Danio rerio: one gene and its partner. The protein of the gene in region 1 binds, or shares a complex with, the protein of each later gene. Links are inferred from orthologs where the notes say so. Each region holds a gene or a part of one and is shown in the gene's direction. Other genes may lie near its edges. The genes, in order: sptlc1 and sptssa.

Region 1 (4,588 bases):
CGTTTTATCTGACTCCAATTATAAAACATTGAGAAAGTTATTTTGTTTCCTTTCACATTATTTTAGATTATGATTGAATATTCTCTTCGGTTCATCATTTTATGTTATTCTCGTTCATTGGGATCTCTATAACATCCTGAATCTTGTACCGGCCGAGTATACAATTTCTTAAGCACAAGCATGTCAGTCTTGGTCACTAAACAGTGGCGATTGACCGCTATCCTAAAAAGGCAGAACACTACTTACTCAGATTAGGATATTTTTTATGCGGTCCCCATAGGTCTGCTACCTCCTAAATCAGACAGAGCTATTTAGTCATATAACGATCATTACTATAGAATTAAGCAGACCAGTCGTACTTAAACTAGTAGTAACTTTGAATAATCACTATACTATCTAAATAGTATTAAAAGTTTATCGGGTGAAGGACTATCCCCTTAGATATCCTTTTACAACCTAAGTATACATGAATAAATGCCAATTTGTTAGTCGGAGCTCTAGAGACATCGTGTAACGTGCCGCAATGCTCCGTCTACCGTGTTCTAGTCCGCTACTAACCTGAACAGGGGCTTGTGGTGCTATGAAATTACCACAATCTACTAAAGATAATAACACGAACTCTGTTTGAATCATTCAAAACATAACAATTTATTAGTCAGGTAAATGTATTATGCCAATTCAATCAGTCAATTCATAAACGATCAATACAAAACATCAAATTATCAAAGATAAATCCAAGATGAAAAGATGCATTCCTGACTTTGAAATATACATAACATGGAACAAGCCATGTTATGGGCTGATCTGGTTAGGCAGAATCGCCCTGAGTTTTTCTCAACCCTTACCTTAAATAATCCAAGAATTCCCTCAAGGAAGGGGGTGTGAAAAAAGGCATTCACACTTAGTGTAAAAGTCACACCCCTCACAGTGGTTCAAAAGATGCCTGTAGTTCTATATTTATTATTCTGATTATGTCTATTTCTGGGAGAATGAGACCATTGTACCAATCGCACTGAGACATTTCAAATGATATCAAACATGATAGTTAAAGTCAGTTTGGTTAGTCTAAAACATTGAAACATTGAAATGACCATATGTGTGACTTGGGGGGATGAAGCTGAGTCTCAGCATAGTCAGATGCAAATGCAGCAGGAACTGGTTTTTCACGCGTTCCCCCCTGGTGGGTTGTGGAGTCCATTGGCCCTGTCTTCAGCTCATGTTTTGAATTGTCAAAGATATCAGAATATTTGCAATATTTCAATTCTTACAATATCTAAAGTGGTTGTTACATTTCAAGACAACACAAAACAACAGCAACAACGGCAACACACACACACACACACACACACACACACACACACACAATACTGCATTTCCCCCATAACATTCTCCAGCAGCCTATATTAAATGTTCAGCTTACCAAACGGTATGCAACAGTACAAGAAATGTAACAAATGGTTTCTTTATAACCATAACGTAATGCTGGTTTGATGGTGACCAAGCAAATGACATCACATTCAAAAACAGAGGTGGAAAATCCGACTGACGAAGCCTGCAATGACGCTTCTCCTCCACGCGATGGCGCCTCTTTATCAATCAGGAAGTCGCGCAGAGCGATCATGTGACTCAGTCAAAATGGCGTCGGGGCAACAGTGGGTGTTGGTGGAGATGGTGCAAGCTTTTTACGAGGTAACTACAAACTTTCTTCTTTTGTCTTTTTGAGGTTTTTAAGATTTGTAAATATCGACAGACTGTTCTGCGTTTGCTGAGGTAAACAGGACTGGCGTAGGTGGTTGTATTCGGCTGTATTTCACATGTAATCTTCAGTAGTCTCATAGTGTAACTCCAGGAAGTGTTAAATATGACATGAGTATCAGTCAGACAGGTGAGTTGCACACCTAATTCTACCTTTACTAGTAGCTATAGTGCTGTACCAATGGTGGTGGATTTACACAAATATAGGTTCTGCTAAAAATTGAATTATGTCATTGTATAACAAGAACACTGTTTATTTTGTTTTTATCTGTTGCCAAATTGTGTAGTAAGTTGAGGTAAAGTAGGTTTGGTATTCGCAAATTCGTTCTTTTAATGGCCCATATATTGTTTATCGCGCTAAGTTGAATATTGAGTCTGAAATAGCACGCAAGGATGACTTCAAAACAATGTTACCACTATGTAATTGACTGTAAATAAGGTTGTACTTTGATAGTCATTAACTGCTGTTGTGATTTCCCTATTTAAAATTTGCAAAGAGTATTTTTCTGAAATTATATTATTAAGCAGAAAGTCTGAATGTGCAAAAATAACAGAAACAATTTCCGTATTTTGGTGAAAACTTCATTTTTTTCATGGCAACGTTGACATTTGCATGGAATGGCTTAACTTATTTCTTATAACTGATTTATTTTATCTTTGTCATGATGACAGTAAATAATATGTGACTAGATATTTTTCAAGACACTTCTAAACAGCTTAAAGGGAAATTTAAAGGCTTTACTAGGTTTACTAGGCAGGTTTGGGTAATTTGGTTTGTTCTGTAGACTATTGAAAAAATATACAGCTTAAAGGGGCTAATAATTTTAACCTTAAAATGGCTTTTTAAAAAATGTAAAAAACTGCTTTTATTCTAGCCGAAATAAAACAAGTAAGACTTCATGTAGAAGAACAAAAAATTATCAGACATGCTGTGAAAATTTCCTTGATGTTAAACATCACTTGAGAAATATTTTTAAAAAGAAAAGAAAATTTAAAGGGGTTTAATAATTCAGATTTCAACTGTATATTTAATCGATGTACAGCTATGAGGAGGAAACAAAATCAATAGATCACTTGAAAATTCTCAGTTTCTCAAGATGTACTGAATTTTCTTCTTGCGTATTTGGTGTAAAAGGTTAATGTATGTTTTATTCTATAAGGGCTTCTTCCAAATAAAATAATTTAATTCCAAGTTGTTGTTTTCTTTTGGCAATAGGCCAGAATAACAAACATGAGGCGTTGCTGTAAATGAAAACTAGGGTTTTCATTTCTTAATATTTGACATGTTTAATATGAATATATGACTTTTTTTTCCAATTTGACCAATATTCTCTTAATGACAACATTTTTATATTGAAATTGGGAAAAAGTAATGTCATGATGAGTAGTGTGACGGACAAAACTGAAATATGCTTTGCTCAAACATGAGACTATACAGTGGAATTGAGAACTGGAGATTCTGAGCCTATTTGAAGGAGGTTAAGCTATTTTGATCATGATTAGGTGATATTTTTGTTATCAGTAATAATGACAAATTGCACCTTTTTCCAACAGGGAAAACCACCAACAATTAAGACCATGTGATTATGTGCTGTCATGGCTTTGCAATCCAAAAATGTAGTTATAATTGAAGTCAATGGGGCAAAAACAGCCACACACAGTATGTTAGAAAGAAAAATAAATAAAAATCTGATTCTGCACACAAACAAACAATGCAGCAAAGCCAATGTTGTTACTAACCTTTACATGTCCAAGACTGTAATTTAAAAGTACAAATAATTATTCCTAAACATCCCAATTTCTGTTTATTGAATGATGATTATGATCTAAACTAACTAAAAGGTTATTTCATACTGCAGCCAAGAAGGTTATATTCAAAATATGGCATGAACCCGCATTCCCAGTGGATAAAATGTGTTCAAAAATTAGAACGTTCTACAGCAAGAATTAACAGAGCTAAACCCCATACAATCAAAGCATGGTCTGATTTTATTGAGAAAGTTTTTAATATAATAACTAGATAATTCTCACCCTAGAGTTTTTCTTTTCCTGTGTATTGTTATTTGTTTATAATTTTTTGCTTTTATTTTATTATTATATTTTTATTTTATTCTTTATGTATTTTCATTTAATGCAAACCCTGGTTTTTACAAAGTTGTCGCTAGCTATGTATGCTGGCTTTGTTCTGCAATAAATAAATAATCACAAAAAAAGGTACAATTAAATCCATTTCACAGTTACCTTTTTATATAAAAAATCAGCGACATTACAAACTTGGGAATTAAAGAGTCAAAATCCTTTATTAAAAGAACATTTAGTAGTTTTGAACAGGACTAAGGATGTTTAATATATCTCTGGAAAAAAATTAAGAAATACCTATATATCTGATACATTTTTACAGTTTAATTTAGCAGATGTTTTCATTCCGAACGTAACCAAAGCATTGTGAATTCACAAGGGTTAACAGGGTTTTCTTCTATCAAATCATCTAATGTATATTGTATGTATTTAATATGATATGTATATGGCTATAATATGAAATCCATCAATGATTTCTTTTACATTATTTAATTTGTCGCCATTTTATACAATTTCTTATGAATGCATCTAATAATCAAAGGAACTGATACTATTTGTGTGTTGTTGTTGTTGTTGTTTTTTCTAGGCCCCAGCATATCACTTAATTTTAGAAGGTTTTCTCATTTTATGGATTATCCGACTGCTGTTTTCCAAAACGTATAAACTTCAGGAGAGATCAGACCTCACAGAAAAGGTGAGAGATGGATTATGCACGTCACATAGGATTCATTTACAGTTGCATTCAAAAATAGTT
Region 2 (4,471 bases), on another chromosome or scaffold:
TTGATGTAGACAATTTTACTGTAAAGTAAATATGGAGATGTTTTTTTGGAGGGAAAGGAATGGGGTTAGACTTATGATTTTATTTATAGGGTTTTATTTGATTTCTGATGTTGTAAAATGCAAACACACACAAGTGATCAGCTTCATGTAAATGACATTTCATATTTCCACATAGTTGATTCTATTGGCTTTAAGATATGTTCTTTAAGGGTTTTTTTTATTGTATTTTTGTACCTGGAGAGGATATTGATGGGAATTAAACTGAAGTGACATGTAAATTATTTACTTGCTGCTGGAAATGCATATAATCTTCCTAATGAATGGCTGGTCTGTTAGGGAAAGTGGCAGATTGTGCTTTAAAACCCTCTAAATACACATATAATAAATTTATGTACACTGCCTAACAAAAGCTCAATAATGTTTATATCTGGTGACTAGGCTGGCCAATCCTGGAGTATCTTGACCTTCTTTGCTTTCAGGAACTTTGATGTGGAGGCTGAAGTATGAGAAGGAGCGCTGTTCTTGCTGAAGAATTTGCCCTCTCCTGTGGTTTGTAATGTAATGGGCAGCACAAACGTCTTGATTCCTTAGGCCACAGGTGTCAAACTCAGTTCCAAAAGGGCCGCAGCTCTGCACAGTTTAGTTCCAACCCTAATTAAACACACCTGATCAAACTAATTGAGTCCTTCAGGCTTGTTTGAAACCTACAGGTAAGTGTGTTGGAGCAGGGTTGGAACTAAATTGTGCAGGGCTTCGGCCCTCCAGGAATTGAGTTTGACCCCCCTGTTTTAGGCTGTTGATGTTACCATCCACTCTGCAGATCTCTCATACTGAATGTAACCCCATGATTTTTCCATCAAACTTGACTGGTTTCTGTGACATTATTGGGTCCATGAGGGTTTCAATAGATCTTCTGCAGTATTTGTGATGATTGGGATGCAGTTCAACAGATAATTAATCTAAAAATCTACCTTCTGCCACTTTTCCAAATGATAAACTTGAAGTCAAGTTATTATTTGTTGCTCTCACAACTGGTATTGAAGAAACATTTGATTTTCTGGTTATTTTAGACTCTGATATTTTTAGTTTTTAATGATAAATACTCTGTTTATGTACCCCAGTTTCACAAACAATGCCTAAACCTAATTCCAGGCTAAAATGTAATTCTTTGTCAACTGAAAGAAACTTTTAATGACTTAAAATATCAATTCAGTTTCTAATTTTGTCTCAAAACCGTTCTCTTTTCTCTCACAAACTTATAAAAATCCATTAATTAATCTATGACTTGATTCTGGCTTATTTTACTTATATTAGTCTTTAAAATCAGGTCATATTTACTTATATTAAGTATAATATACTTACAATAATTTTAAAGGCCTTATGAGGGTTAAGTAAACACTTGATCGTGAGCTCGAAGCGTTAACATCCCTAACAAATATAAAAACAGCTTATTACATTATTTGTTTTGTGATCTGGATTTCAGTCGGACTTTTATTTTGACACTCAGTGCCAACATTTTCCCCTTACCACGTGACTTTTATTATGTCACGCTCTAGTCCAATCCGGAAGGGAGCGGCGGTGGGACCAACACGAGCCGACAGAAAACATGGCGTTTGGAGATGCCTGGAAACAATTATCTTGGTTTTATTACCAGTATTTGCTCGTAACAGCTCTGTATATGCTGGAGCCTTGGGAGAGGACTATCTTCAGTATCCTTTTATCATAAAACATTGAGTTTTGTATGCGTAAGGAGCGTTATTTGGGCTGTCTTGTTATCTCCGGTGAAGGTATGAAGTTGTTTCCTCGCTCTTTAAGTGTTAGTTGTTTTTTCGTGGCGTACTACTAACTAATAAATTAATACAAAGACATGTTTTTGACATTATTAAAATAAAATACATAATGTATTTCCGACACGCGTGGTTTCTGGAAGTCTGGTGTGTTAACTTGTTTGCGTAACAGCTGATTATTTTAGTTCCTCTTTTAAGCTAAATTATTATCGTCATTGTTTTTTATTATCGGTTATAATTAATATACGATAATCAGGAAGTATTTAGCTGTGTGTATTTGCGAAATAAATGAATGAATGAATGAGTGGTGTGTCGCACTTGTGGGTGTGACGTGTGATATTTAAATCAGTGACACAACATGACCTGATTTCCAGGTGTCTTCTGAGAACATGTTGATCTTCAGTTTCACTGTAACCTGTTTTACTTGATGCCTTTTTTTTTGTCGTGAGAAATACATTTTTCTGTGGTCACCTGGGAAATGATGTCACCTGACACCTTTACAGCAGTGTTTTAGTGCTGGGTTTGTATATGGTTAACCCACAGACAGTAAAACAAAAAACAACCTGACAAGATATTTTCTGTTATATTTTTCCAGCGCTTGCAAAATTTCAAAATCTCTGGTAGCCGTTTGGACAGGCAGACTTTTGGTCTGTTTTGGTAGCCCAAATTAAATTCAAGTGGGACAAATAGAGAATATATTTTCTTCTAAATAAAAAGAAATGCATACATTTGCTAAAAAAAACAAACAAAAAAACATTATATGTATTAATTAAAATAATTAATCCATTAATTATTGGATTAATTTTTGGTTGCCAGACTGGAAAACATAATAGCCCCAAGACAGCAGCAGTTTTGCTTGGCCTGTTTTTTTTAACAGTTATTTCAATATAGTTTTATAAATGTACCTTATTGTTTATTTGGAATTGAAAAATCATGATTATGACTTATTGCACAGTGTTTGTACTAAAAATAGCTAATTTATAACTACAGTAAATGCAGAAGATAACAAAATTATTAACCTTATATATATAAGCAATTCCAGCGTTATGGATGTGACATTTGCAGTAAAAACTCAAAACATAATTTCACACAGAAAGTATATGTTGACATTGTATCGAAACTTCTTTTTATATTTTCCAAAATAGCTCACCACAGAGTTATGGTAGCAGAAAAATATCAATATGTAAACATGTTTTATATTTTAAATTAGGAAAATAAACATGCGTTATGGATGTGACAAAAAAAGTTTGCGAATTTTTTTACAATGGACAACAGATTATTTAGAAATTCTGACAGTTAAACTGCACAACCCAAAAGAAACAATGCTCATCAAACAGGTATGAATCGGCTCACTATAAAATTATAATGATTGATTTTATTTTATTTGACATTTTTGCATTTATGAAGAAAAAGTGTCGTTATGGATGTGACACATTTCCGTTATGGATGTGACAGCTGTGAAATAGCCACTTGTGTGATTTTGGCAAATTAAATATAATAGTTTGAAATACTGACAGATACATTTACGAGTATTTTTACAGTACTGTAAAATACTTGCTAACACAAAAAATGTAGAAACGGTTTGTCTATTTTGGTGAAAACTAAATTATCTTTTATGGCAAGGTTGACATTTGCATGGAATTGCCCATATATATATATATATATATATATATATATATATATATATATATATATATATATATATATATATATATAGCAGGAGAAGCTTATTTTAAAACATTTAAAAATCAGATCGACCCCAAACCTTGACTAGTTGTGTGTGTGTGTGTGTGTGTGTGTGTGTGTGTGTGTGTGTGTGTGTGTGTGTGTGTGTGTGTGTGTGTGTGTGTGTGTGTGTGTGTGTGTTAGGCATGGGATGATGGGACTGGTTTCAAGGTAAACCGCGGTTCATAAAAGTCAAGATAACAACTTTTCCCCCCATTAAACACAAGATATTTCATTTTAGAAAACATTTATAATATTTTAGAACTACATATGTCAGGCTTAATAATTAAAAGAAAACATTGAATTCTGCTGTCTTCATTGGTTTCAAAAACACATTTATGTACGATGCATAAAAAACATTAAAAAAAGAACTTGTTTAAATCTTAGGAACGATGTAACAGAAAATTATAGCACTAAAGCTGCATTTATTTAATCAAAAATACAGTATAAAGTGTGAAGTGTTATTGCATTATAAAATAACTTTTCAAAAATAGTTTATCATTTAATTATTTATTCCAGTGATTTTAAAGTATCACAGTATTGTGATTGCTGCTGTAAAATAAGTTCTTTTTAAATGTCTGAGTAAAAAACAACAACTTTTCCCCCTATTAAACACTATTTATTTTATTTTAAGAAATATTTATAATATTTTGCAACAGTAGACATGGCAGATGGGCGACGTAGGTGGCGCAGTAGGTAGTGCGGTCACCTCACAGCAAGAAAGTCGCGTTTCTGTGTGGAGTTTGCATGTTCTCCTGCATTTGTGTGGGTTTCCTCAGTGTGCTTCGGTTTCCCCCACAGTCCAAAGACATGCTGCAGGTGAATTGGGTAGGCTAAATTGTCCGTAGTGTATCAGTGTGAATGAGTGTGTATGGATGTTTCCAAGAGATGGTTTGCAGCTGGAAGGGCATCCGCTGCGTAAAACATTTGCTGGATAAATTGGCAGTTCATTCTGCTGT

The links.
Region 2: sptlc1 (region 1) and sptssa share a complex: the UniProt entries of both Homo sapiens proteins name them as parts of the serine palmitoyltransferase (SPT) complex. The link is inferred for Danio rerio from reciprocal best matches to the Homo sapiens genes SPTLC1 and SPTSSA.

Annotation. Positions count from the first base shown.
Region 1 is NC_133185.1:5,705,682-5,710,269, forward strand, and holds the start of sptlc1 (serine palmitoyltransferase 1), read left to right. Parts: upstream 1-1,616; 5' UTR 1,617-1,635; coding exon 1,636-1,689; intron 1,690-4,420; coding exon 4,421-4,528; intron 4,529-4,588. UniProt on the Homo sapiens protein: Component of the serine palmitoyltransferase multisubunit enzyme (SPT) that catalyzes the initial and rate-limiting step in sphingolipid biosynthesis by condensing L-serine and activated acyl-CoA (most commonly palmitoyl-CoA) to form long-chain bases.
Region 2 is NC_133192.1:11,130,278-11,134,748, reverse strand, and holds the start of sptssa (serine palmitoyltransferase small subunit A), read left to right. Parts: upstream 1-1,567; 5' UTR 1,568-1,606; coding exon 1,607-1,709; intron 1,710-4,471. UniProt on the Homo sapiens protein: Component of the serine palmitoyltransferase multisubunit enzyme (SPT) that catalyzes the initial and rate-limiting step in sphingolipid biosynthesis by condensing L-serine and activated acyl-CoA (most commonly palmitoyl-CoA) to form long-chain bases.